7 linked regions of the Callithrix jacchus genome follow. The protein of the gene in region 6 purifies or fractionates together with the protein of the main gene of each other region. This does not show direct contact. Links are inferred from orthologs where the notes say so. Each region holds a gene or a part of one and is shown on either strand. Other genes may lie near its edges. The genes, in order: ANAPC7, LATS2, CDC26, ANAPC4, ANAPC2, ANAPC1 and ANAPC16.

Region 1 (3,500 bases), on a different chromosome or scaffold from region 6:
AACTTTAGCTGAACAGAAAGAAAATCCCCAGTCCTAAGAAGGCAAGTCAAGTTAGATGCTGCAATAAACTATGCTTCTGGGGAGTGCAAAATGATTTTCTTCCAGGTTAAAGAATGACACACTAAAGCCAGGCGTGGTAGTTCATGCCTATAATCCCAGCACTTTGGGAGGCCCAGGTGGAAGGATCACTTGAGCCCAGGAATTCAAGACCAGCTTAGGCAACATGGTGAAACCCCATCTCTATAAAAAAAATACAAAAATTAGCTGGGTGTGGTGGCATGCACCCGTAGTCCCAACTACTCAGGAGGCTGAGCAGGAGGATGGTTTGAGCCCAGAAGATCGACAGGTCAAGGGTACACTGAGCTGTGACTGCACCACTGCACTCCAGCCTGGGTGAGAGAGAGAGAGATCTTGTCTCAAAAAAAAAAAAAAAAAAAAAAAAAAAAAAAAAAAAAAAAAGAATGATACACCAAGGTAGACTGCTTTGCTTTGCTTTGCAAGGGTTACTACCTGTGCATGTGCAGAACTAAACTAAGTCAGATTTACATTTTTACTGGTCCCCAACAGACATGAAAACATGATTACATTTGGGACCATTCAGTATAAAAGACTAACATAGCCCAGAGACTGGCTGCAGCAACAAGAGAGAAGCATCTTATTTTTCTTTTTGCTCCTTCAGATACATCAGACTTCTAGACAAGGACAGGGCCTCAAAAACACTGAATTAACTTTGTGGCTCTCACCAGATGGTATTGATTGCTCTTGAGTTGTCACCGGTATGCACAAAAGCGTATGCTTTTATCCACACAGAGAGCCAGTCCAAGTTAGGCACGGTTTGGATCACATTCATTGTCATGGATGCCACCTCTGCCCCTTTTACAGAAAGGGACAGCAAGCCTAAACCAACAGAAAGCAGGAGAAAGAAGGTAAGGCACAACATCTCTCTTCCACATGCAAGGAGCAATGGGCTACATTTTCCCTCGGCTAAAAGACAACTGCTTTCCTATTCTAAGTGAGATATATGACAGAAAAAATATCATTTAGTGTTTCTTTTCTTTTTGAGACAGAATCTCGCATTCCAGTCCCCCCCCAGGCTGGAATGCAGTGGCATGATCTCAGCTCACTGCAGCCTCCGCCTCCAGGGTTCCAGTAATGCTCATGCCTCAGTCTCCCAAGTAGCTGGACTACAGGCGAACCCCACTATGCCCAGCTAATTTTTTTATTTTAGTAGAGAGAGGGTCTCAAACTCCTGAGCTCAGGCAATCACATACCTCAGCCTCCCAAAGTGCTAGGACTGCAGGCGTGAGCCACCGAGCCCAGCCAAAAACCATTATTAAGTATTTCTTGATTGAATATGTGACAATAGAAACCCTATTAAATCACTCTCTGGAGGGGAACTTTAAAAAATAAAGTTAGGCCGGGCGCGGTGGCTCACGTCTGTAATCCCAGCACTTTGGGAGGCCGAGGCGGGTGGATCACGAGGTCAAGAGATCAAGACCATCCTGGTCAACAAGGTGAAACCTCGTCTCTACTAAAAATACAAAAATTAGCTGGGCATGGTGGTGTGCGCCTGTAGTCCTAGCTACTCGGGAGGCTGAGGCAGGAGAATTGCTTGAACCCAGGAGGCAGTGGTTGTGGTGAGTCGAGATCGCGCCATTGCACTCCACCCTGGGTAACAAGAGCGAAACTCTGTCTCAAAAAAAAGAAAAGTTATTCTAATGTACGGCCAACTTTGAGAACTACTATCACTGACAGTAAACATGCCATGAAAACAGGCAGAAAATATCTCTACCTAGAATGGCATCAAGGGCTAACGGGCACTGCCTCAGCACCTCCTTATAGCTGGTGACTGAAGGGCGCTCCTGACCAGCCTTCTTGTACAGGTTTGCCAGCATCATGTTTATCTGTATAAACACAAACAACAGACAGTAAAATAAGTGTATACTGCAAAGAAAATCTCTCACAATGAAGAAGTCCTAATTTTCATTACCAGCTACTTACTTTTTACTGGAAAATCTACCCATAACCCTGTGCAAATAAAGGGAGACTGACCCCATTTTTCAAAAGCAAGAAGAAATCACTACCCTTGCTTTCCCTAGTACTTCCCATCCCTAAGAGGAAAGTAAAATTACCTTCCCACAAGGCCCAGTAATATCGGGACAAAAGACGCTGCCTCTGGAAACAGGAGTAACATTCTTTAAGAAATGGTAGAGAATGCTAGTTAACTCGATTCTTTCTTGATCTTAAAACAGAAGATGAACTACCTCACATAAGAAAGTGAGAAACTCTTGACATAGCTAGTTAAGAAGGATCAGATGAGTTTTCCCCTAAAAGGAAATGATACAGAAGGACAGATAAAGCAGTGTAATACTGGGCTTTTCTCTGAGAATTCGACTTGGGGCTGGACTCTAGCCTTTCAAACACTTAAGGCTTTGGCCCCTAGGTACTAATTCACTAAAATAATGCTATGAAAATCGGCTATACTATTTAAATCCAGTGACTGCAGGCAGCTGCATTTTAGCATAATTTAAACATGCAACTTGCTAAAGCTAAATAAAAATAATCCTACCTAACATGTAACTGAGAAAAATCTGAAAAAAATCTAAAAGTTCCAAAGAATGCAGAAGTTATAGGAAAGTGATAAAAAAAACCTTCCTAATAGTACAGAGATAAACACAATATTCCACTTTAAAATTATATATATATATTTTGAGACAGAATTTTGCTCTTTTCACCTAGGCTGGAGTGCAATAGCACAATCTCAGCTCACTGTAACCTCTGCCTCCTGGGTTCAAACGATTTTCCTCCCTCAGTATCCTGAGTAGCTGGGATTACAGGTGTACGCTACTAAGCCCAGCTAATTTTTTTTGGATTTTTAGTAGAGACAGGGATTCACCATATTGGGGCTAGGCTGGTCTTGAACTCCTGACCTCAGGTGATCCACCCACCTAGGCCTCCCAAAGTGCTGTGATTATAGGTATGAGCCACTGCACCTGGCAAAATTAGTAGGTTCTAAACACAATACTATTTGCTAGATTATTAACTAAGAAAGCAGTCAATGTGAGGGCACAAAAGAAAAAAAAGAACCCCAATCTCTTCAATTATCTGTGGTTTGGTATGCCAAATATTTACAGGAAAGAGTGACGCTGAAGATAAAGAATATCTGTTCCAATTGTAGAGCTACATTATATAAAACAATCTAATATACCATAATTCAAACAATGGAATAATGAAATACTAAAAATAAAACTATTTTTTACTTGGCCTCAGGTTTTCCATATTAGGCTAATTTGAAAATGCAAAGAAAAGTTCTTAAAGGAGAACTCCAGGATTGCTGTCAATACTTGTAAAGAATAAAAAGTTAAATTTAGGATCCTTTCTTGACTGCTGGAGGTACATGTATATTTGAGACGGCCCAGGCTGCAGTGCAGTGGCATAATCTCAGCTCACTGCAACCTCTGCCTCCCGGGTTCAAGTGATTGTCCTGCCTCAGCCTCCTG
Region 2 (3,955 bases), on a different chromosome or scaffold from region 6:
TCTTATTGTAAAAGCATTTCCCTCCCACCAAAGGAAAGCCCCTCCCATCAACCCTGCGATTTGCTAAGGAACATGTACAGCTCCAATTTACACTTAAACTATTTCAAACTCAATGGAGAAGCTAGAAAAATCCCTTCCAGTTATATAATTGTATGATTCTAGTAATTCACCGTAATAATTTTGCAAGACAGGCTAGCCTCTGCTCAGATACCTTAAACTGCCTGAGATTTGGAGAGTTATTAAATGTTCACAAACTCATTTTCAAAGGAACGCTGGTATATTCATTAAACAGTACCTTCTATACCTGCATAATGGGACAAAATTTTGTGAGAGGCTGAATAACATATCTTGATAATTACAGTTAAATAGACATAGTAAAAAATTTATACATTCTCATTTTGGAGTTTTTCTGTTACTATCTTATTACAACAGTTGTCACAGAAGAAAAAAAAAAACCCTAAAAACATACAAAGCAGCTTACTAAAAATATACAGCGAGATTTAGTACAAATTTACTAATAATCAGCCCTGAGTTACTTTTTCCATGATTAAGGGAAGGCCTCTCATCTTCCAAGTTAAAATTTTAAGCAGAACATTTGTGTAAGATCACACACATTTTGTGATTTCCCATTCAAATTCCAGTATATATGTTTCTTATTAAAATATGGGCAAACTTTCCTTTAAAATGTACATATTTATTGAATATTTTGTGAAAAAGAGCTGTTCAGCCATTAATCTTAATTATCTACTGGCCAAATGTATGAATACTCTATGGCTTCACAGTTAAGGTGAAAATTTTTTTAATGCTATTCATTAAAAACACTTATATCTGTGCCAGAGAAGCGTGAAAATGTAAAAGTTCTTGTTCAAATTCTCCTCAGGTGGGGCGTGATGGCTCACACCTGCAATCCCAGCACTCTGGGGGACCGAGGAGGGTGGATCACCTGAGGTCAGGACTTCAAAACCAGCCTAGCCAACGCAGCGAAACCCTGTCTCTACTAGAAACACAAAATTAGCTGGGCTGGTGGCCGGGCCCTGTAGTCCTAGCCCCGCGGGAGGCTGAAGCAGGAGAATCGCTTGAACCTGCGAGGCAGAGGCTGCAGTGAGCGGAGATCACACCACTGCCCTCCACCCTGGGAGAGAGTGAGATCCTGTCTCAAAAACAAACAAAAAAACAACAAAATTTTTGTCAACAAAGCCTGCAAGTTAAGTTCTTTCAAAGTGATCCTGGCAAAACAGCATTTCTCATCAAAAGGCCTCAAAACAGCCTCCTAGCCGAGCTCACCCGGGACCCTGTTACCAGCTGCCTGGAGCCCCGGTCGGGTGGGTTTTACCTTCTTCAGGGTCCATTCCTCGCCTCGCCCCACCCCACCCCCATGCCCGCAGCCCCCGGGACACTGGAGACTTGGACTTCGCAAACGGGTTTGCGCCAGGCCGCACTCCATCCCCGAGGGAAAGCTCCCAGAAGTTCTAGAGTTGGGCTGGAGGAAGTGATGGCAAGAAGTGAATGATGTCAGAATCCCCATCTCCGGAGTCCCGCTAAGGAGCTACAGGCAGGTGAGCTGGCATCAGAAGAGAAAGCCAAGCCCCCCACACGTCGCTAAACGAGGGCACGGGAATGGCGTGTTATGCAACGGCCGCCGCTCGCATGGCCACGAAAGCGCTCCTGCGCCTCGGGCCGCGTCCCGCCAAGACCACTAGCAAACTCGCAGCGTCGGCGCGGCCGCCGGCCGGGAGACGACGAGCAGGGCCTGGCAGCCCACGGCCCGGGAGGATCGGCGCCCCAGTGGTGCGGCGGCCTCTGAGGGGCTGACTGGCCGGCGGGCCCGCGGAGCGGCCGCGGGGGACTGGGTGGGAACCGCGCAGCCTGGGCGAGGCGGCACAGCCACCAGGGGCTAAGGGGCGGCGCGGCCTCGGCCGGGTACGGCCGTGGGGCTGTCGGCTCGCGGGACGACGGGGTGGCCGGCGGGGGCAGCCGGGGCGGGCCCCGAAGGATTGATTGGCCCGTGGGACGATGGTGCGGCCCGGAGAACGACGCCGTCTCCGTGGGACAGTGGCGCGGCCGGACGCTGGGGTCTCGGGGCTGTCAGGGGAGCTCGGCTGGGCGTCTGGTGGAAAGCCGAGCCCCGGGGGACAGCGGAAGCGGAGGCGAACCCCGCGCTACGGCCCCTTCGGATCTGGGGCACCGCCCCCGGCCCGCGCAGCCCCTGCCCCGTCAGGATCCTGGCCGCCCCCGCCGCAGCACAACAAAGCAGCGCAGCCCCGCGGCCCCCACCCGACGCCGGCCTCCAACTTCCCCGGCTCCTCCGGAACCGGCTCCGCGGGCTCTGCACGGCCGAGACGCCGCGCCGCCGGGCGGGGGCGGCTCCGGGCGGGCGCGGACCGTGGGGGCAGGGCGCAGGGCTCAGTCCGGACAAACTTCCTCGGCCGCCCCGCCGGGCGCCCTTCCTGGAGCCTCGGTCCCACGGTGAGTGCGCGGAGCTGCAAGGCTCGACCGCCTCGCGGTAACGCCGGCCACCCTCTCGGCTGCCGCCCCGACCCCTGCCCCCGGCCCCCTCACCTCTTGGGGCGCGGTCTACACCCTCGGGGGTGTCCTGGCCCGCGGCTCCCGGGCCTCGCGCGCCAGGAGACCGGGCACTGGTGGCTGGAGCTGCTGCTGGCCCCGCAGGGACGGGGGAGCCCCGGGCGGCGGCGGTGGCGTGGACGGCGGCTGCTCCATCTTCCCGGGGCGCTCACGCCGCGGTTCCAAAGCGCAGACCCAAGTGGGACATTCGCTACATTGTTGGCATTCCACGGGCGTCACGTGACCCCGCCTCCCGCGTCACTCTCGGCCGCATACCAGCCCGGGCGGGGCGCCTGCGGCCCCTGCTCTTCGGCGGCCGCTCCGCCCCGCCCCGCCCCGCCCGGCCGTGCTTCCTGCCTCGGGCCTCGGCCGCCACCTGCCCGCGGCCTCCCTGCTGCCCTGTGGTAGCTCGCCGGGGGCCTCTCGGACCTATTTGACTCTGTGCTATCCGCCCCCAAACTTGAGTATTTGCCCTCTCGGCTGCACTTGTATTAAAAGTTGGTAACAGTCGTCAAAGGCACTGTTCTTAAGCATCTCATACTAGTCTTGGTGGGGGAAAAAAAAAGTTGGCAAACCTGAAGGAGCCACCAAGTTGCCAACTAGGGGATGGACACTAAGAATAGGGGAAGAAAAAGGCGGCTATTGAGACAGTGGAATCAAGCAATTAAGAAGAACGTCTGCCGGGCACGGTGGCCCACGTCTGTAATCCCAGCACTTTGAGAGGCTGAGGTCTCCTGAGGCAGATCACCTGAGGTCGGGAGTTCGAGACCAGCCTGACCAACATGGAGAAACTCCATCTCTACTAAAAACACAAAATTAGCCGGGCATGGTAGTGCATGCCTGTAATCCCAGCTACTCGGGAGGCCGAGGCAGGAGAATGGCTCCAACCTGGGAGGCAGAGGTTACAGTGAGCCGAGATTGACCAATTGCACTCCAGCCTGGGCAAGAAGAGCGAAACTCCATTTTTAAAAGAAAAAAAATAAAAAAGAACGTCTGATGCACACCCAGATTTGATCTGATTTAATTTAATCGACCTCCCCTCCCTGTGTATATTTTGTTTCCAAGAAGTGCTTTATGGTGTAGGGAATAGTACTGTATACCAGCAAGTGAGGTCGTGGGTTTTTAACAGCTCCACCATCTATCCATTTGAGGACTGTGGATCTGCTACAGGGACAGAAGTGGGGATTATGCAAAGATTCAGAGTAGAAATAATAGACTGGAAGCCAAATCCTTAATCTACTTCTGGCTCTAACATTATACTTCTCACCACCCATGTCTGTGGCAAGTGATGCTGAGGGTCAATATACTTTTAAAGTAAACTCGATTTTCTCTTTAATTGATAAACTCTTGTGAAATTTTTAAATTTTACTCTCATGGTAAACAGTAATAAAGG
Region 3 (4,090 bases), on a different chromosome or scaffold from region 6:
ATAGGGTCTGCTCTAAGAAATAGTGTCTGCTCTTTGCCCAGGCTGGCGTGCAGTGGCATTACCTTAGCTCACTGCAGCTTCAACTTACTGCGCTCAAGCAATCTTACTGCGTCAGCCTCCTGAGTAGCTCGAACTCAGGTGTACACCACCACACTTGGCTAATTTTTGTGTTTTTTGTAGAAATGGGATTTCTCTCTGATGCCCAGGCTAGTCTCAAACTCTTGGGCTCAGGTGTTCCTCCCTCCTCATCCTCCCAAAGTGCTGGCATTACAGGCCAAAGCCACTGTGCCCAGTGACTTCTTAAGTCTTTAGGTATGTCATTATTACATTTTTAATACATGACGGAGATCCACAACTCTGAAAAATCCAAAAACTATTCTGTAAGAATTTAAAATAGCAAACTGCCTAAAAGAGAGAAATTCCAGGCAACCATCACTTTAATTTCATGTTCCAGTCACGTTCAAAGAAATATTCTAGCTAAAAGAATAAACTGTCACATCTTAACTTAGTATAGAGGGGAAAGTAGACAAACCGCTGAATTTAATCTACATGAGGACTGTCAGAGATTTGTGATCACTCCTGAATGCTAGAATCAGTTTGCTAAATCTCATGAAAACGCCAACTCACCAATTCACAAAATTATTCTCAGCGTTTAAACAGATCCTAAATGTGTCCGTCATTCATTAAACAAATACTTCTTGTGCTCCAGCTACAAAGTTAAAAGGTACAGTCATAATCTGTGGAGAAAACAAAGAGAAAGCTTTGATATTGCATAATGAGAACTCTGATGAGGGTAAGGCACTGGCATCACACGGGCACCTAATCCAGTCTGGGCTGAGTGTGGGGTGGACAAGGATGTCAGGCAAGCCTTCCTGGAGAAAATGATGTCTTAGCTGACTCACTCCCAAGAGCAGGCAGAGAGAAGAGTGCACAAAGGAGACTCAAGACCAGCTCTGGAAACCTAGCAAGACCCTGTCGCTACAAAAAAGTAAAAAAATTAGCTGGGCTGGTAGTGTGTGCCTGCAGTCTTAGCTACTCAGGAGGCTGAAGTGGAAGGATCCACCTGAGCCCAGGAGTTTGGGGTTGCCACAATGAGCCACGATCTCACCATGAGACCCCCAACTCAAAAACAAACAAAAAAAAAGAAGTAGAAAACAGGCTCAAGAGAGCATTCCACAGCCTGAAATCGCAAAGTAAATGTTAATAAAAACTGTTTTTGTTTTGTTTGTTTTTTGAGAAAACACAACTCCTCCAATTGAGTTTAATATTTGTTGATGACATCACTTGTATATTCTCCACAGCATCCCCTAAAATCCCCTAGAGTGTATCTATAAAAAACAGTCAGTAAGGGCCGGGCACGGTGCCTCACACCTGTAATCCCAGCACTTGGGAGGCCGAGGCGGGCAGATCAGGAGGTCAGGAGTTTGAGACCAGCCTGACCAACATGGTGAAACCCCGTCTCTACTAAAAATACAAAAATTAGCCAGATGTGGTAGCGGGCGCCTGTAATCCCAGCTACTCAGAAGGCTGAGGCAGGAGAATCGCTTGAACCCGGAAGGCGGACGTTGCAGTGAGCCGAGATCGTGCCACTGCACTCCAGCGTGGGTGACAGAGCAAGAGTCCGTCTCAAAAAACAAAAAACAAAAAAAATCTGCTATACATTTTACCTTTTCTGCAAACTGTGAAAAACTCTCCACTAGGAAGAAGTATAGAGTAACAGTTAATAGTGTGGCTGTAGAGGTTAATCCCACTACACCACTGATCTTGAATAATTAGTTTCATCTCTCACTAGACCTTAGTTTCCTCATCTGTATCTGACTCTGCTATTGTTGGTGAATAATATAATGCAGAGTAAAGAGTAAGCTCTTGGAACATAACTTGGCATTTTAAAAATGTGCAATAAATAAAATCTATTATTACTGTAATTTTTCTAGGGGGTTGGATGGGGATCTGGCCAGCTAGGGAAACCTCAATGTTTTGAGAATCATCCACCTCCCACGTGGAGATAAAAGCCTTATCCTGGCCGGGTGTGGTGGCTCGCTCCTGTAATCCCAGCACTTTGGGAGGCCGAGACGGGTGGATCGCGAGGTCAGGAGTTTAAGATCACTCTGGCCAAGATGGTGAAACTCCGTCTCTACTAAAAATACAAAAATTAGCCGGGCGCGGTGGCCGGTGGCGGTAATCCCACCTAATCGGGAGGCTGAGGCAGGAGAATCGCTTGACCCGGGGTCGGGGTGGACCGAAGGTTGCAGTGAGCCGAGATCGCGCCACTGCGCTCCCAGACTGAGCGACAGTAAGACTCCGTCTCAAAAGAAAAAAAAAAACTTACCTTGTTTGTCTCTAATTCCCCAGCATCCAGCAGGGCACAGGGACGTACAGAGCTATCTGACACCTTCCTATCCATCATCTTACTCTCAATCTGATACAACGACCGGCTCTAGACAAATCAACAAAGTCAGGCCGAAGCTCTTCCGCCGGGTCTTTATTTGACTTTGGCACTAGGGAGCTCTTCTAGCAGCCTAAATCCACCGCGGAGCCATCAAGCTCAGAGGGGGCCCCTAAGAAGACTTCCGGATTGTGGAGAAAAACAGCCCTTGTCCCCTAGCTCCAAGCCTGTACCTCGGATCCCTGGCGAGGATTTCCATGGTAACAAGGTCTTCAGCTCCAGGAAGACTTAAACGCTCCGGTAGGCCCGGGTGGCACGGCGGACCCCGGAAGTCCTCGACTCGCTCCAGAGTTCAGCCCCGAGCCGCGCGACGCAACGCACCTACCTCTTTTCAAGCCTGTTCAGCCCCTTCCCGGAACCTCCGCTCCCCCAGTGAAACTATTGGTAAGCCAACTGGACTACACTTCCCAGACTACTTGGAGCCTCTCTCTCAGCAGAATCTCGTCTTGCGCGAGCTTTCTCCGATGTTCTAGGAGGCATGCCCCTCAATACGATCACACCGCTTCCTACTACGACTTCCATCATGCTCCGCGCCGCTCCGGGCGCGGCTACGGCTCTCGGCACACGTCCGGTCGGTGACGCACTTCCGATCGGTGATGCTCATCCGCTCTGCTGGGCGCGCGGTGGACGATCTGAATCGGAGACCTCAGGTTTCGCTGTAGCTTTTCTCCAGAGCCCGGCATGGCTTCCTCGCGAGCTTCCTCCACGGTACAGAGCCCGGGATCTCAGCTCACTCTGGCAGGAAGCGCGAAGGGGGAAGGGGGTCCTTGCGGGAAGGGGCCGTTAGGGAACGGGAGAAGGCGGTGGAGGGCCGAGGAGGAAGGCTGTGGGACTCCGTGTCCTAGACAGCCGAGCACCGTTTTCCTGATCCCTAAGCGCTTTCGTGGACTATAGCTTATTTGCACCTCTCCGACTACATCCCTGAAGGGCAAACATCTCTTCGGACTGATCCAGTAACGGTGCTCTGAAATAGGGAAGTGTCTTGGCCAAGATTGATGCCTTTGGCAGATCTCAGAACTTTAATGAGACCTACTAACTCCTACTGCCTCAGGTCTAGAAACGTTTGAAATATATACGCTAGTAATCTTGTAACTTGTTCTTCTTTAGCACCGCGTTAGTTATTTCATCTATATTTGGTACTTCCCCAGTGATGAGCAGTAACCCTGGAAGCATCGTAAAACACGAGATTGCACACTTCCAACAGAATGAAGTAAACAGATTGCAGAGCAAACCCTTGATAGAAAAATACCCGAGAGAACCTCACTAGTTTTATCAATCCTGTCAACCAAAGTGAGGGACTGAAACACCCTCCCCCTACCCTCATCTCCTCAAATCAATGAAGAACATCTTAAGCAGTGTCCAATTTGTCCTTTCAATTACAGAGGAAGTAGGACTGTGAAACTCAGGGTGAGCTTCATCCTCTGGGGAAGTCCAGCAAATTGTTAAGATTAAGCGTTAGTTTAAGTCAGATTTTTGATTTAGCAGGCAACCAAAACTAAAGCACCTGATGACTTAGTTGCTCCGGTTGTGAAGAAGCCACATATCTATTATGGAAGTTTGGAAGAGAAGGAGAGGGAGCGTCTGGCCAAAGGAGAATCTGGGATTTTGGGGAAAGAAGGACTTAAAGCAGGAATCGAAGCTGGA
Region 4 (3,500 bases), on a different chromosome or scaffold from region 6:
ATTTATAATGTGCATTAAAAAACATTTAACTGTAATACCAGAAAGACAGTTTTACTAGTTACCTTGTAGAATAAGTCCCAGTGAACTGATATGCTGCAGAATCTTCACTGTTATATACTAAAGACAAAGGCAGCTGGACCAAGAGTCTATCTCTTCCTTCACGTCCGATAGTGTCTTTAAGAACTACCGTTACAGTTTCATCATCATAAAACTGTGCATCTAAACAACTGTAGATGCTGGAATTAAAATAAGTTTTGTTATATCAAAGATGGTCATGACTACTGAGAAAGTACTGTATGTATATTATCCTGGCAGCAAGCAGAAAAAAAAATTAAAACCTAAGTGACATTCTGTACAATAACATTTAAAATACATCATTGGTTTGTATTAAACTCAATTACTTTTTGCAGTGATTATTCACATATATAATTAGATCTTAAAAATGGGTAATCATGACCCTCCAGAATCTGTGAAGCTGTTTCAGTTCTAGAAAACCCTTGCCTATCAATGGTTAGGCCTTAAGCCTGTGGAAATTCTATGAATGACACCTTACATACACATTCAGAAAACAGACTTGACTCGACTGAAAAAAATAAGATATTACCTATGAAAAATAGGCACAGCAACTCCAAAAGTTTGTCATAAAACAAAAACTTCTTTTATGTGAGGGGAAAAAAGTGAGAAAAAGATCAGCCTGTGATTAGTCAGTTTTTTCCCTTGCGAAGCCTTGGGGACGGCTTAGGTACTGTTACCCTTTTGAAACCTGAGAAAATCTCCGATCACTGAGAATGGCATCGCCTCATAATTTTTTGGCCCTAACAAGTATTTCGGCCCCGTAGGCTATCTGCCCACTGGAAGCACGTTACTTTCTTTGCCAACAGGGAGCTCAGAAGTAGTAATTATAGGAAACCATATGACATAAACTCCTGCAGGGCAGTAAGGTTCTATTCCATCGTGAGTCAAATCATTCTCTATGTATAAATACAAAGAATCCTGCCTTCTATTTTGGCAGTGACAAAGCCCTTTTGCCTATATTATCACCGTAACTGAGTCTGATAACATTCCCAAACGTACACACACATATGTGTATGTACATTTCATCCAAACAAGATGCAAGACTTACCTTCTTCTGACTTTTTCCGTTGTGGCATATGTAAAGCTCCCAAATTTAATAGCAATTAGTCCATTACTTACAGATCTTAAAGAAGGAAGGGAGAAAAACAGAGACGCTGTAGAACAACCTTGATAGTCAATAATCTAAATGCTTAGAAGAACATGATTGTCAGGCTCGGTACATTTACCTAATACCAAATCCCAGACCAAAAACACCATTGTTCTTCTCTAGAACACTGAGAACTGGCTTAAGCGCCTAGACAGATAAACCAACTTGGTTTAAAATCATACAGTCACCAAAGTAAATAGATAACTTAGCCAGAGACAATTTGGAATAGAAATAACCAAATTATTTTTGGTTACATCTTGGGCTCAACATTTTCTTCAAATTCAGATTTAAAACCATTTTTAAGATACCAATGGCATTCTAAATATGCTTTATTTTTCAGAACTTTTACTTTGAATTTCAAAGGAAGTAGGCAAGGCCTCTTTTTTAATGAAAAGTATACTTAACCCTAGGCAAAAATCACTTCTAGAAGGCAGCCACTTTTAGAAGTTTATGACTTCTAAAATGTTACTTTAACTTTTTGGAAGTTTTTAACTTCTAAAAAACGAGATATAATATCCTGAGTTTTCTGCTGTCATATTTTTCCTAAATCTAAAGAAAAGTCCTATACACAATGATTATATGCCAATACGAAATTAATCTACAACAAGATTATATGACTTCCTAATTCCATGTTACCATCTTAATTAGATGAAAACTAGCAAATGACAAATCTAAAAGTAACGAAGTAGTTTAAAATCTGAAATGCTGGAAGGCTGTACGCTTCATTCTTAATAAAATCTTATCTCTTTGATTCAGATTAATACTTACTGGGAAATATCAGTATGTCTCCTTAAGATGCACATTTTATAAAGTGAATCTTCTAGAATAGTAAAAAGAAGGTAATGTAGATTTGAAGTTTTATTATTCCACCTAAGAAAAAAAATTGTCATAACGTTTTTTAACTGTTGATGGCTAAAACAAAATTGTATTGTTCACGCAAGATAGGGAAGAAATACACACTTACAGAAAAGGAAATTTGAACAGTCTACGTGCAGTGTCTTCACTAAAATAAAATGGAAAAAGAAATGAGAAAAATTTAAATGGGCTGCCAAATTACACCACCCAACAGGTAAACAGGATTACCTTCTGGTATCTCGATACAATGGAATACAGATTGCTTGATTCATCGATTTCCCAATTACATCCTATATAAAATAAGATTTTTAAAAACAATTAAAGCATTTATATGCACATAGATACTCTACAGAAAGTGACCATCACTCTTCGAATGTAGTAAAAAAAATCATCTATATCACCAAACCTTTATGAGAAACTTTAGTGACAGTTTTGACAGTGAGGAAAAAGAAAATTCTGAGCTGAAAAGGACCTTGGAGCTGAGCATAGGGCAGGTTTAAGACCACCCCCCCTCTGGTCTCATAACAACCCTTCATTCACAGCCTTCAGTAGTAAACATGAGACACATCAGCTCTGTAACTAAGACTGTTTACAGTGAATTTCTTCTCAGAACAAATAAAATACTCAAGATGCCAACACCTTTAGTAATCTTTATACACACACACACACACACACACTCGTGTGTGTAAGAAACTAACAAAAGTATTAGGTTGAACCATATGAAATTGTACTTTTGTTAGTCAAAAACAGCTGAATATCAACATTTTCATAGTTCATTCTAAAAACTAAGATCATTTACATAAGTGAGCCACATACTGTAGTCACTATTGCTCCTACACAAAGACATGCATTTCTTTCAAACTTACTGCTGGCTTTTGCAAACACTGATCAATAATGTTCTCCATCCGCCTTTTCACAAAATGCAATGATTTTCGAGGATAATAAGGAAACAGCAAAGGACTTTCTGGTTTCAAACAAAAACAGAAACAAAAATAAAAGAAGCTATAGCAAACTTATAATTAAAAGAAAATAATCTACTGTTAGAGGCAGTCTGCACAGTTTATCTCAAGGTAGAATTTTCACTGATCACTTCACTGGATTTTCACACAACCTCATTAAAACGACCAGGGCCTTTTCTGCCTTTCATCAAACCCCACTGACAGCTCACTAAAAACCACCTCACTTAGTACAAGCTTAGACTCACCAGAATCCAACTGTATGTTTCTGCTGGCTATAAGAAGAAAGGAACGATTTGGGAACCACCAAATATATGAGGAAATAAAGTTCATTCTTCTCTTCTTTGCCACAGTGAAATGACAGTAACAGTCCAGTACTGTTTTGTAAGAGTCTCAAAAACAGGAGACTGGAAACTAGCTCTATATAAATAAGCTCTTTACGTTTTAAAAGGTTACTTTACCAGGAG
Region 5 (3,500 bases), on a different chromosome or scaffold from region 6:
GGGCATGGTGGGATGGGAGGGGGGTGCCCTATCCTTGCCAAGGTGCCTATCAGGTGACACCCCTGCCCCCGCTGTGCCAGGGAAGTCCAGCTCCAAGCGGCGCTCCTCAGACATTATCAGCCTGCTGGTCAGCATCTACGGCAGCAAGGACCTGTTCATCAATGAGTACCGCTCGCTGCTGGCCGACCGCCTACTGCACCAGCTCAGCTTCAGCCCGGAGCGGTGAGGCCAGGGAGGCGCCAGCCGTCTCCAGGGGTGCTGGGGCCCTTGCTGAGCCTGTCAGGACAGGGCCTGGGCCTGGTTGGACTGTGTGCCACCCCCACTCCTGGCTGGGGCTGAGCTGGCCGCCGGGGTGCCACGCAGGCCCCCTGCTCTGCCCGGGAGGTGCACCCATGACTGCTACAGGTGCTGCTTGGGACTGCAGCCCCTGCGACCCCCGCCCAGACACTGGTTCGTCTCTCCAGGGAGATCCGCAACGTAGAACTGCTGAAGCTGCGCTTTGGCGAGGCCCCGATGCACTTCTGCGAGGTCATGCTGAAGGTGGGTCCCGCCTCGCCCACCGCCCGCCACCCCCAGGCCCCCGTGACACCAGCTCCTCCCTCAGGATATGGCGGACTCCCGCCGCATCAATGCCAACATCCGGGAGGAGGACGAGAAGCGGCCGGTGGAGGAGCAGCCGCCATTCGGGGTCTATGCTGTCATCCTGTCCAGTGAGTTCTGGCCGCCCTTCAAGGATGAGAAGCTGGAGGTCCCTGAGGACATCAGGGCAGCCCTGGAGGCTTACTGCAAGAAGTACGAGCAGCTCAAGGTACCTCCAAGCCAGCCACCCCACAGGGCTCTCTGCACCTCACCCTGTGCTGCGGGCTCAGCAGCCTGGTGCCTATGGCCACCCCATTGTCTCCCGAGTGTCTAGGGTTGGTTATGTCTCACAGCCATCCCTGCAGGAGATGGAGTGGGCCCAGTCCACACTCCCTCTGCCTTCCTCACAGTGAGCCTGTGCCCCCTGTGAGCCAGCGTCCCTCGGCCCCACAGGTGCTCGGGTGGGCTGTGCTAGGCCCACATCTCCTGTGCTGCTTCACGGGGACTCCCGTGGCTCCAGCAGGCCGCACCCACTGAGCATTTCCTCCTCTTCTGCCATCTGCCCTCTGCCTCTCAGAACCAGGACTTGGGGTGCCTTGTGTCACTGCAGGTGAGGGCCAGGGAGCCAGGGCCACCCTCTGCCCAGGGCAGCGCTCCCAAGCGCACCTGACCCTGGGGCCCCAGCCCTGCCCCTGTTTCTAGATATTTCCCGGAGAACTGCATTTGCAGGTTCCCATGGTGCTTGAGGACCAGGGCTGTGGGACTGTGGTGGGAGTCGGGGGGAAGCAGACGTGGGGACTGGAGGAGCGAGCCCTGGCCTGGAGGTGCTGGCAAGTGGGGCCAGCGTGCCCAGAGTGGTGGTATCGGCCGTATTTGGCTCACGTCTCCTGGCAGCACCACCAATCCCAGCAGTCCCAGAACAGGTATCCAGGGCCCTGGGTATGGGACCACGCTTGGAGGTTTTTTCCCTGAGCTCATGTTCAGGTGAGATGTTTTGGGTCGAGGGAAGAGGTTAGGACCCCTGTGCAGCCAGGTCCCAGGGCTTTCAGTCTGGTGTGTGGGGCCCGTGAGGCCTCCGGTGTGCCCAGCGAATGCTCAGGCCTGGGGGGAGCTGAGCACCCCAGCAGGGGACACGTGAGGAGAGGGTCCTGGGGCAAAGCTGGTTTCCAGGCTGCAGACCCCAACCCCAGGAGGGAGATGGGCCAGCCGCAGCCTGGGCCAAGGCCGGCAGGTGGGGCTGAGTTCAAAGGAGGGTCCCCAGCTTCTCCAGGCCTGCTGTGACAGACGCTGGGTCTAGATGTGTTTCCTTTTTTTATCTGCCAAGTGAGAGGGCCTTGCTGTGTTGACAGACTAAGGAAGCTTATTCCTAGGGGAGGGCAAGGTGATGAGTCCACTTTAGAAACTAAGGGGGAAGTTGCAGAGACAGACAAGGGGAGGGCCAGGTAGAGGCACCCGGGGCAGGAGGCGGAGGTTGGGCCAGGCTGCTGATCTTGGTGGCGAGTGCCTGCTGCCTCCCTCCAGGCCTCAGCTTGGCTCTGGAAGAGTCCAGGTATCCCCCGCAGCTTGCCTGCCCCGGTGGAAAGGAGGGCCCTGGCCATCCCCCCACCTCCAGCTCCAGCCTGTGTCTCCAGAGTCTGCGGGCACCGAGCCTCCCCCGCCCCCTGCCCCCCGCCCTGCCATGTTCTGGTACAAGTCATTGGTGTGGCCGGGCTCCATGCACAGTCCCTCTCCCACTGACCCTCTGGCTGCCTCAGGCTCTCCAGTGCTGTTTCTGGGCGAGGCTCCCCTGGCCTCCCTCCAGGGTCCCCCTGGGATCCCAAGTGTGGCTCAGCCACTTCCCATTCCTCGGGCCTGACGTCCTGGGGCAGCCATACTCCAGTGCCCTTTGTCTTCACTTCACGGGATACAGGATGGCTCAGGAAGGTGCCGGGCTGTGCTGAGAGGTCCCACTAGCAGAGCTCCTGGCCTAGGGGCCTCGCTGGGCACATGGCTGGCATGCAGCCCTTTGCATCTGTACCTTAGGCACTTTGCTGGGCATGTGCTGGCATGTAGCCCTCAGCATCTGCACCTGAGCTCACTGGGCACATGGCTGGCATGCAGCCCTCAGCATCTGCACCTGAGCTTGTTGCTCCTGAGCCCTTCTTCCATTCTGGTGCAGGCTGATGAGTGGTGTTCGTGGAGGTCACGGCCCTGGAGCCAGAGCCAGGACCAAGGCCAACCACTGACTCCACCTCTATCTTCTGTCCGTAAAGTGGGGTTCGTTTCCTTTAAGAGCTGCCAGATTGGCCTGGCGGGGTGGCTCACGCCTGTAATCCCAGCACTTTGGGAGGCCAAGGCGGGTGGATCACGAGGTCAAGAGATCGAGACAATCCTGGTCAACATGGTGAAACCCCGTCTCTACTAAAAATACAAAAAATTAGCTGGGCATGGTGGCGCGTGCCTGTAATCCCAGCTACTTGAGAGGCTGAGGCAGGAGAATTGCCTGAACCCAGGAGGCGGAGGTTGCAGTGAGCCAAGATCGCACCATTGCACTCCAGCCTGGGTAACAAGAGCGAAACTCCGTCTCAAAAAAAAAAAAAGAGTTGCCAGATCCTGGAAGGGCTTAGGAGCCTGTGGCCCACAGAGCAGGCGTGTCAGTGCCCTGGTGCCACCAGAACAAAGTGCCACAAACCAAGGGGCTTAAAAGACCAGAAATGTATCATCTTATAGAGGTCAGGGTGAGCAGGGCCCTCTGGAGGCCCTAGGGGAAGGCTGCTTCCTTGCCTCTACCAGCTCTCTGGGGGCTGCAGGAGCTCCGGGGCTTGTGGATGGCTCGGTCCAGTCTCTGCTGCGTCGCCCGGAGTGTTCCCCTGTTCTGTTTGTATCCCCCTCTTGGACACTCACTCTACTCCAGGGTGACTTCATCTTAATTATATCTTTAA
Region 6 (4,105 bases):
GAAATTTTTTTTTTTTTTTTGTTAATCAATGAGAACTTGGTATGTTGCTCAGGTTGGCCTTGAATTTATAGCCTTGCCTCCTCAAACGCCAGTACAACTGGCCAGAGCCACCGCGGCTCCGTGTTTTTTCTTTAAAAAAGTTTAAAGTATCAATTCGGTATATTTGTATTTCTTTATTTTCTTTTTCTTTCTTTTTTTTTGTTTTTCAGAGAGTCTCGCTCTGTTGCCCAGGCTGTAGTGCTGTGGCGCGGTCTCGGCTCTCTACAAGCTCTGCTGCCTGGATTCAAGCGATTCTCCTGCCTCAGCCTCCCGAGTAGTTGGGATTACAGGCACGTGCCACCACGCCAGGCTAACCTTTTGTATTTTTAGTACAGACGGTGTTTCACAATGTTGGCCAGGCTGGTCTAGAATTACTGACTTCGTGATCCTCTTGCCTCAGCTTCCTAAAGCGCTGGGATTACATTTGTGAATCACCATGCCCGGCCTTTATTTCTTAACTTTAACTGTTTCACGAATCTTTGTTTCTATCCTTTCTCCTATAACCCACTCTTTTTTTTTTGACAAAGTCTTGCTCTGTTTCCCAGGCTAGAGTTCAGTGGTGCGATCATAGCTCACTGCAGCCTCGAACTTCCGGCTCAAGTGATTCTCCAGCCTCCCAGGCAGCTGGGACTACAGGTGCATGCCACCATGCCAGGCTAATTTAAACATTTTTCTTTTGTGGAGACAGGGTCTCGCTATATTGCCGAGGCTGGTTTCAAACTCTTAGGCTCCAGCGATCCTCCTGCTTCACCTCCCAAAGTGCTGGGATAACAGGCGCGAGTGGCCGCTGGGGTTCTTAACCTGGGTCTTTGAATCGCCTCAAGAAGTGTCTCTGAATCTGGGAATTGCAAACAACGTTTCTATGAGGACCTTCATACGGTTTATCGACTCTTCGAATTGTATGGACTGCATAAGGGCATAGAGCACCGGCACGTAGAGAAAATCAGCAACCCCTGCTCCCCACCCTCTGCCTAGATGTGCCTACCTTCACGTGGGGTCAAGAGGAAGAAGCGAAACCAGGCAGAAAAAAACCTGAGATCAAGGAGGCAGTTTAGGTCCCTAGTGACATGGCCTGAAGAGAAATTGGACGGCAGGAGAATCCTTTCACTCTATGGACTCTGGCAGACACAATCCTGCTTTGGGGATCGGATCAGTCACACGCCAGGTGGAAAGAGCCCACAAGTTCTGCCCGGCCGCAGTCTTCCCGCAACTGCGCAGGCGCCGGGACTGCTAGGCCACCGCGCGCCTACAGCGATGCCCCGCCCTGGAGCGAGGCCGGACGGGAAAGTCAAGATGGACGCGTGCATTTGAACGTCTCGCACGCCTGCCTGCCATTAGGACTCGTACCCGCTGCTGTTGCCCATTTCTCCTCCAGAAAACGGGAAGGAGAGGGGATGAGAAGCTGCCACGGTCGAGGAGTCACTGTGACGGACCCCGCCGCTGCCCTCGGGCCTCCTCGGCCCTTGCACCTCCGGGGAGCAGCCGGGTCTCGCCGCGCCTGACGCGTCCCGAGTTACACAGGTGCGGCCCCGGATCCGCTGTACTTGGGTGGTCTGTCGCATGCCGCGTGACTCTAGCACCTGGCCCGAGGCCGATCCGCCCCTGATGGCCTTAGGGCTGGGAGCCTGGGGGACTTGGAACCTGGGGAGGGCTCTGAGTGTGCCCCTCGGCCGAGGGGGCTCGGCCTGCGGGCTGGGGTGCTCCTTCTACTCACTGCTTGCTAACCTCTTACCTGAGCTGTGCGCTGCATGCAGTGTTCAGCCTCGGCTTCTAAATTGGCCTCCAGTCTCTCTGAGCTGGTTTTCTGAGCCCCGGCTTGTAGCCTGTTTTCACCGTTCCCTAGAATGGCTGGGGGAAGTTCTTCCTTATTGTGGAGACTTAACTCAGGCTCCGGTTGGTGTGCATTTGGGTCCCCCCCACCGTTTTTTTGGCAGGGTAGTGTTTTTCTGTAGGAATCATTGCTGATATTTTTATTTATAGCATATGAATTAATAGTATTTTTATGTGTAGCTGTTTATGTTGCCCCTAACAAGTAAAAATATTCCTAAAAGTTTAGGTTATTGTGAAAGTATTAAATATGTGGCCTTAATCAGTACAAAATGATAATTTTTAAATAAGTCTATAGTTTTCTGTCAAAGTTATAAGAAAATAACATTATAGGCCGGGCTTGGTGGCTCACGCCTGTAATCCAAGCACTTTGGAGGCCAAGGTGGGCGGATCACCTGAGGTTGGGAGTTCAAGACAAGCCTGACCAACATGGTGAAACCCCGTCTTTAAAAAACAACATAACCAAAAACAACAACAAAAAAACAAAATAACATTATAAAATTGCAGAACTAAAGTTTCATAAAATCAAAAGTTCATTGATGTTGGTTATCTTGTTGAATAAAATATAGGAAGACCAGCTGAATTTTGTTTTCTTGTAAGTTTTATAAGGCACTTTTTAGTTGTGTTCCAAGTTCAAGTCTTTTCAATACTGCAACCTCTACGTCCCAAAGCGATTATCGTGCTACAGCCTCCCCAGTAGCTGGGATTACAGGCGCCCACGGCCACACCCAGCTATTTTTTTTCGGTACTTTTACTAGAGATGGGTTTCTCCACGGTAGCCAGGCTCCTCTCGAACTCCTGACCTCAAGTGATCTGCCTGCCTCTGCCTCCCAGAGTGCTGGGATCACAGGTGTGAGCCACCGCGGTCGGCTAAGAGTAACTTTTTTTTTTTTTTGAGACGGAGTTTTGCTCTTGTTACCCAGGCTGGAGTGCAATGGTGCGATCTCGGCTCACCACAACCTCCGCCTCCTGGGTTCAGGCAATTCTCCTGCCTCAGCCTCCTGAGTAGCTGGGACTACAGGCACGCACCACCATGCCCAGCTAATTTTTTGTATTTTTAGTAGAGACGGGGTTTCACCATGTTGACCAGGTTGGTCTCGATCTGTTGACCTCGTGATCCATCCTTCTCGGCCTCCCAAAGTGCTGGGATTACAGGCTTGAGCCACCGCGCCTGGCCAAGAGTAACATTTAATTGACAGCAAAATAACTTTGTCACCTTAGAGGGGCTGCATAGGAACTACGTAGGCCTTGGGTGTTTGTGTGGCCATTTAGGTCTCTTGCCTTATGAGCAGCAAGTCAATATATGGAAACAGCGGGGTTTGCAGCAGATGAAGTGTTTTACTTGCAGAGCCACCAAACTAGGAGACTGAGGAAACTTCAAGTCTGTCTCCCCAGAGAGTTAGGGTCTAGAGGTTTCAAAGAGTTTGGAGGTTAGTGGGCTAAGGTATTGACTGATCGGAGAATGAAGGATGAAGTCCTAGGATGGAGAGACAAACCACATTCTCATGCTGATGTGGTTCCTTGATGGGGTCTTTAGCCTGCATCATTTCGAAAGAAAAGTCTTAGGCTCCTAACATTAAAAATCCTATGTATAGAAATATGGTATATAAGCAGGTACAGGAAAGTGGGTTAAAGGGCAACCAAATTATGCTTATCTGTATTTTGTATAAAGCCTGGCTGCTTCCTAACCTGTGGTGAAGGCTTTAACAGTTCACATTTTTGTAGTAATAAACTGTACTGTAGAGTACAACTTGTCTAAATACTTCATATATAAAGTATGGAAAAATTGGTGTATAGTGGTAGGAAACATGAGCTAGGTGGTGTGGGACACAACTCGTTGTTGCAACTCAGTGGTTTCCTGTAATGGTAACTGTCAGTCTGTGACTAAAATGTGATAACTGCGTTTGCCTGAAAGAATCAGATCTCGAATGCCCTTTGATGTTATGACTACTTACCAACATGATGTAATTATTTGACATTCATGTAAGAATTAATGACTTATGTGTTTGTGGTATTTTTATTCTAGTTTTGAGTTTTGAAGCTGACCAGAATGTGTTTGAATTCATACAGAAATAATGTTGATATTTGGAACCCATGTCGAACTTCTATGAAGAAAGGACAACGATGATTGCAGCCAGGGATTTGCAGGAATTTGTTCCTTTTGGTCGAGACCACTGCAAGCACCACCCTAATGCTTTGAACCTTCAACTTCGCCAGCTGCAGCCAGCCTCTGAATTAT
Region 7 (4,221 bases), on a different chromosome or scaffold from region 6:
ACAAAGTGCTGGGATTACAGGCGTGAGCCACCACATTGGGCACACTCGTATCTATCTAGCAAGACAGTTAAGACAATGAGGGATATTTAATAAATTTAACCACCCAGAAAAAAAAAAATACCCCTAAGTACTTTCAGAGATGCTAGACATTCATACCAATCAGCTGGTTACCTGTCAAAGCACAGTTAAAATAACAACTTAACCAATATGGTTCTCAGACCAACATATTGCTGATGGAAGGAATCCAATTTCTACAGGCCACTGCCCAACAAAATGCACATCACTCACTGAGAAACCAAGCTTCTGGTCACACCACTTAATTAATCAATAATTTAGGAAACAAAGGTTCTCACAGGCTAGCTGAGGTTAACTTGCACCAATATTCCTACCATGTACAGCTTGAAGCCCAAATAGTCTTGAAGCCCAAAATACTGAAGAGTTCCAAAGAAAACAAGTCGATCCTTAATAAAAACACTAATGTTCAGTCCAATCCTCAGCAAATAAGTCACTTTAATGGATGGTTTGGGTTGGGCGCGGTGGCTCACATCTGCAATCCCAGCACTTTGGGAGGCCGAGGAGGGCAGATCACCTGAGGTCAAGAGTTCGAGACCAGTCTTGCCAACATGGTGAAACCCCGTTGCTACTAAAAATACAAAAAGTAGCCGGGCGTGGTGGCGGGCGCCTATAACCCCAACTACTCGGAAGCCTGAGAGGTGGAAGTTGCAGTGAGCTGAGATCGCGCCACTCCACTCCAGCCTAGGCGACAGAGCAAGACTCCCTCTCCAAAAAAATAAAATAAAATGTTTAAAAATAGTAATAATTGATGGTTTGTGTGCTTACAGAACCAAGAAGAGGTTTCGTGAAAAATAACAAAGAAGGTAAACCGACAGGGATGAAGGAAAAGGGCACATAATTAGCAACAGTCGATGACATCATACCCCAATGGCCTATTCCCCGAGGCCTCTAAAATTCTCAACAAAAAAAAAACCTTCAAGGGGAAAGCTGAAAAAAAAAAGTTTCCCACAAAAACAGACTAAGGTGAAGGTCGGGACCTCAGGCCACAAGTTCCCGAAGAACCGGGGTCCGGGAGACAGCAAAAGTAGCATCTACCTGCCCTGCATGGCCCTGCGCTACGAGACTGCTCAGAAGGAAAGAGGGGAATAACCAACTTAACCCTGCTTCGAGGTGGTTTGGAGAAGAAGAGGAAAGCTGTGTCTTTCTGCAATACCGTGAGGGAAGCCGAGGCCCCGAATCATCAAAGAGAAGAAGAGTGCTAGAGGACTGCAGGCAAACCAAGACAGGGCGAGAAGGCGAAGGAGCCGGAAGTCCTCTCCTGGAGCGCGTTCCCTACTCCCCTACTCGCGTCTCAGCCCTGGCCACGCCCACCACGCACGGACGCGCGCACGCCGCCGGCTCCCATTGTGAGGGCGCGAGCACGCCGTCGTCCTGGTCGTGGTATGCGCAGCAGCTCCGGCGGACCCTGGGGGTGGGGCTGTAGGGGAAAGTGCTAAAGCCGCTGAGGTAAGAAGCCGAGGGCTCAAGGGCCCTTGGGAGCTTGGTGAAAAGGGAGTTAACCCCTAGGATCCTACCTGCAGGGACTAGGAAAATGGAGAAGGTAGGTGGAGAAACAGGAGACTGCTGTAGAAGACGTGCGAAAGGAAATTTCCCCAGGCCGGGTTGGACTGACTGCGCATGCGGGCCGAGGGGTGGAGACTGCGCAGTGGGACAGCGCCGATGGCGTCGTTTCCTGGAACCCAGCTGGGTGGGTAGCGTGGCTAGGAGTCTGCTTGGGAGCCGCTAGTGTTCTGACGGCTCCCTCTCCAGCCCCTTTCTCTCCACGTCCCACCCCGCAGTTCCAGCTGCGGCTTCTATTTGGTTTGGGTTGTAATCCAGCTATTCTTAAGTGGAAAAATTTGTTGATGGAATTTAATGATTTCTTGTAATTTGTACTAGGGTAGGAACTTTTAAGGAATTACTTTTTAAGAAAATAGGCATATATCTGTTAGAAAGGAAAGGAATTTATGAATGCGAGTACATGAAGTAAATGTTTAAGCATCTTAGCTCGGACACAGCAATCTGTGTCCAGAAAGCATCATTACTCTCCTGTGAGGATCTCCACTGCCAGCCCCAACCTCCCTGACAGGGCCAAGTCCCAGGATACTTAATCATCAGTATTTACTCAACAAAATTTTACTAAGCACCTCCGGTGAGCCCGGCCAACTAGTCGAAGATAGAGTTGTGCGAATACATCTGCACAATGAGAAAAAAAAACTTAATGGACCAGTACTCATGACACCGCACTTCTCTTACCTCCTGCTTGACCTTTGCTGAGCTGCATGCCCTGCGTTCTGTCATTTGTTCATCATTCATTCATCTGAAATGCCCGGGACTGGAAGCACAGTGGAAACACTGTGACCCAGGTTCTGTGCTCGGCATTGAGGGTAGAAAGACTTTTCGAAGGTAGCAGTATGTTTCTTAAGATCGTGAACCTTAAAATGAAAGTGTAAAGTGCCTAGTAGAGGGCATTGGCCTTCCTCCTGAACAGATTCTTTCCCCTCTGGGAGCTTGCTGACTGTTTTAGATAGAGAGAATTAAAACTTTTTCCATGAAGTTTTTTCATAGTAAGCATGAAAAACTGGGATCTGCATAGGAAAAACTCGGGAGTAACTCTCCGTTAATTATTTTGAATAGCTAAGATTTATGAAGTGTTTAATAAGCCTATAACTGTTCCAAGCGTTTTACATGTATTAACTTATCTTGTCACATCTGTGTGAGGTAGCTGCCGCTATTACAGGTTGAGTATCCCTAATCCAGAAATCCAAAATGCTCCAAAATTTAAAACTTCTTGAGTGAGGGGATGGTCAAAGGAAATGCTAATTGGAGCATTTTGAATTTCAGATTTTCGAATTTGGGAGGCTTAATCATTAAGTATAATGCAAATATCCCAAAACCTGAAAGAAATCCAAAATACTTCCAGTTCCAAGCATTTCAACCTGTTTCCCATTTTGCAGATAAGACAACCAAGGAACAAAAATATTAAATATGCTGGAGGTTGCAGTTTTTTGAATTTCTGCCATCAGACCTTGGCGATGATCTTGAGCAGTCGGATATAAATTACTCCCACATGGTTAGCGTTCCAGTAATGGAACACTAGGCATAAATGGGTTAAATTATTTGTCCACAGTCATGCCGCAAGTAAGTAGTGAAACCAGAACTCAGGCAGAGAGGCTTCATAATCTTACCCGCTATGCTGCTTTACCTTGCACATGACAAATGACATGCCAACAAGCCATTGCTTCAAAATGTCACAGCAGATAAGCTAAAATTGTCTCTATACCTCAGTTTTATTTTTTCATGTATAAAATGAGGAAGTTGGATTAGATGACCTTTAAGGAATCTGTGGTTTCTGTGAAACATTTAATTCATTCAGCAAGCATTTACTGAAATGAACAGCTACTTCCCCACTATAGGCCAGGTGTTATGTTTGGTTCTGGTGATTACTTAGTGCCTGCCTTGAGAGCAGTTACAATCTCTAGGGTGTATTAGTTTTGCTTTACTCTCATTTACCACTCGCTGGTAGCATTCAAAATTTAACCTACATCTTTAGAGCTAGAAAATACTTTGATATATCCTTCCACCTCAGCAGAAAACTACTTACAGTTAGCTTTGTGCTAATTCTGTGCTCCAGTTTTTAATCCTGGCTGTTTTGTGTATGGAATGATAGTAGTTCTGAGAGTTGGAAAGAAAACAAGATGAAAGGGAATTCCTTTGATTATATTCAGCTTAGAAGTCACACTGTGGCTAACTTTTGAAGCTGTCCTCACTCTGGCAGTTGCTTGGGTGCTCTGCTGAGCAACTGACTTCAAAATATAAAGTATAAAGCATTTGCAACTGAATAGAGCATTTATCAGGGTGTAGGAAAAATAGAGTTTTAAATCTTAGGTGAGATATATAAAGAGTTCACAGTGGGTTCCACTCTGAACTGATGAGAAATAAAGACTGAGCTACTCTCCAAAAGGTGGCTAAGTTATCTGTATGCTTTATTTGAATCCCACCAGGAATTCACATGAAGATTTGGACCTGATCCATCACTGCTTAAGTTCAAAAACAGTTGAAAAACTTGTCAGGCTATATTTTGACCCACTGCAGTCCAGAAGATTGGATATGAATCTGACTCCAAAAATTGTTGCCTCTGTGGATATGAATACAATTTGGAAAGTT

What was found.
Region 1: the proteins of ANAPC1 (region 6) and ANAPC7 fractionate together in Homo sapiens (co-fractionation; 6 studies listed by BioGRID and IntAct, with this or other methods). This does not show direct contact. The link is inferred for Callithrix jacchus from reciprocal best matches to the Homo sapiens genes ANAPC1 and ANAPC7.
Region 2: the proteins of ANAPC1 (region 6) and LATS2 purify together in Homo sapiens (affinity purification with mass spectrometry; 3 studies listed by BioGRID and IntAct, with this or other methods). This does not show direct contact. The link is inferred for Callithrix jacchus from reciprocal best matches to the Homo sapiens genes ANAPC1 and LATS2.
Region 3: the proteins of ANAPC1 (region 6) and CDC26 purify together in Homo sapiens (co-immunoprecipitation; 6 studies listed by BioGRID and IntAct, with this or other methods). This does not show direct contact. The link is inferred for Callithrix jacchus from reciprocal best matches to the Homo sapiens genes ANAPC1 and CDC26.
Region 4: the proteins of ANAPC1 (region 6) and ANAPC4 purify together in Homo sapiens (co-purification; 13 studies listed by BioGRID and IntAct, with this or other methods). This does not show direct contact. The link is inferred for Callithrix jacchus from reciprocal best matches to the Homo sapiens genes ANAPC1 and ANAPC4.
Region 5: the proteins of ANAPC1 (region 6) and ANAPC2 fractionate together in Homo sapiens (co-fractionation; 8 studies listed by BioGRID and IntAct, with this or other methods). This does not show direct contact. The link is inferred for Callithrix jacchus from reciprocal best matches to the Homo sapiens genes ANAPC1 and ANAPC2.
Region 7: the proteins of ANAPC1 (region 6) and ANAPC16 purify together in Homo sapiens (co-immunoprecipitation; 5 studies listed by BioGRID and IntAct, with this or other methods). This does not show direct contact. The link is inferred for Callithrix jacchus from reciprocal best matches to the Homo sapiens genes ANAPC1 and ANAPC16.

What each region holds. Positions count from the first base shown.
Region 1 is NC_133510.1:113,296,502-113,300,001, forward strand, and holds part of ANAPC7 (anaphase-promoting complex subunit 7), read right to left. Parts: intron 1,905-3,500; coding exon 1,793-1,904; intron 898-1,792; coding exon 744-897; intron 1-743. UniProt on the Homo sapiens protein: Component of the anaphase promoting complex/cyclosome (APC/C), a cell cycle-regulated E3 ubiquitin ligase that controls progression through mitosis and the G1 phase of the cell cycle.
Region 2 is NC_133506.1:140,730,844-140,734,798, forward strand, and holds the start of LATS2 (serine/threonine-protein kinase LATS2), read right to left. Parts: upstream 2,801-3,955; 5' UTR 2,560-2,800; intron 1-2,559. UniProt on the Homo sapiens protein: Negative regulator of YAP1 in the Hippo signaling pathway that plays a pivotal role in organ size control and tumor suppression by restricting proliferation and promoting apoptosis.
Region 3 is NC_133502.1:161,586,204-161,590,293, forward strand, and holds the start of CDC26 (anaphase-promoting complex subunit CDC26), read right to left. Parts: upstream 2,801-4,090; 5' UTR 2,772-2,800; exon of another isoform or gene 2,330-2,771; intron 738-2,329; 5' UTR 681-737; coding exon 628-680; intron 1-627. Other genes in the region: PRPF4 (U4/U6 small nuclear ribonucleoprotein Prp4), read left to right, coding at 3,128-3,154, 3,929-4,090. UniProt on the Homo sapiens protein: Component of the anaphase promoting complex/cyclosome (APC/C), a cell cycle-regulated E3 ubiquitin ligase that controls progression through mitosis and the G1 phase of the cell cycle.
Region 4 is NC_133504.1:168,427,738-168,431,237, forward strand, and holds part of ANAPC4 (anaphase-promoting complex subunit 4), read right to left. Parts: intron 3,042-3,500; coding exon 2,944-3,041; intron 2,368-2,943; coding exon 2,306-2,367; intron 2,226-2,305; coding exon 2,187-2,225; intron 2,093-2,186; coding exon 1,991-2,092; intron 1,199-1,990; coding exon 1,124-1,198; intron 237-1,123; coding exon 63-236; intron 1-62. UniProt on the Homo sapiens protein: Component of the anaphase promoting complex/cyclosome (APC/C), a cell cycle-regulated E3 ubiquitin ligase that controls progression through mitosis and the G1 phase of the cell cycle.
Region 5 is NC_133502.1:185,590,107-185,593,606, reverse strand, and holds part of ANAPC2 (anaphase-promoting complex subunit 2), read left to right. Parts: intron 1-80; coding exon 81-222; intron 223-464; coding exon 465-540; intron 541-604; coding exon 605-808; intron 809-3,478; exon of another isoform or gene 3,479-3,500. UniProt on the Homo sapiens protein: Together with the RING-H2 protein ANAPC11, constitutes the catalytic component of the anaphase promoting complex/cyclosome (APC/C), a cell cycle-regulated E3 ubiquitin ligase that controls progression through mitosis and the G1 phase of the cell cycle.
Region 6 is NC_133515.1:22,696,194-22,700,298, forward strand, and holds the start of ANAPC1 (anaphase-promoting complex subunit 1), read left to right. Parts: upstream 1-1,305; 5' UTR 1,306-1,560; intron 1,561-3,936; 5' UTR 3,937-3,960; coding exon 3,961-4,105. UniProt on the Homo sapiens protein: Component of the anaphase promoting complex/cyclosome (APC/C), a cell cycle-regulated E3 ubiquitin ligase that controls progression through mitosis and the G1 phase of the cell cycle.
Region 7 is NC_133513.1:57,949,907-57,954,127, reverse strand, and holds the start of ANAPC16 (anaphase-promoting complex subunit 16), read left to right. Parts: upstream 1-1,421; 5' UTR 1,422-1,521; exon of another isoform or gene 1,522-1,684; intron 1,685-1,708; exon of another isoform or gene 1,709-1,762; intron 1,763-4,221. UniProt on the Homo sapiens protein: Component of the anaphase promoting complex/cyclosome (APC/C), a cell cycle-regulated E3 ubiquitin ligase that controls progression through mitosis and the G1 phase of the cell cycle.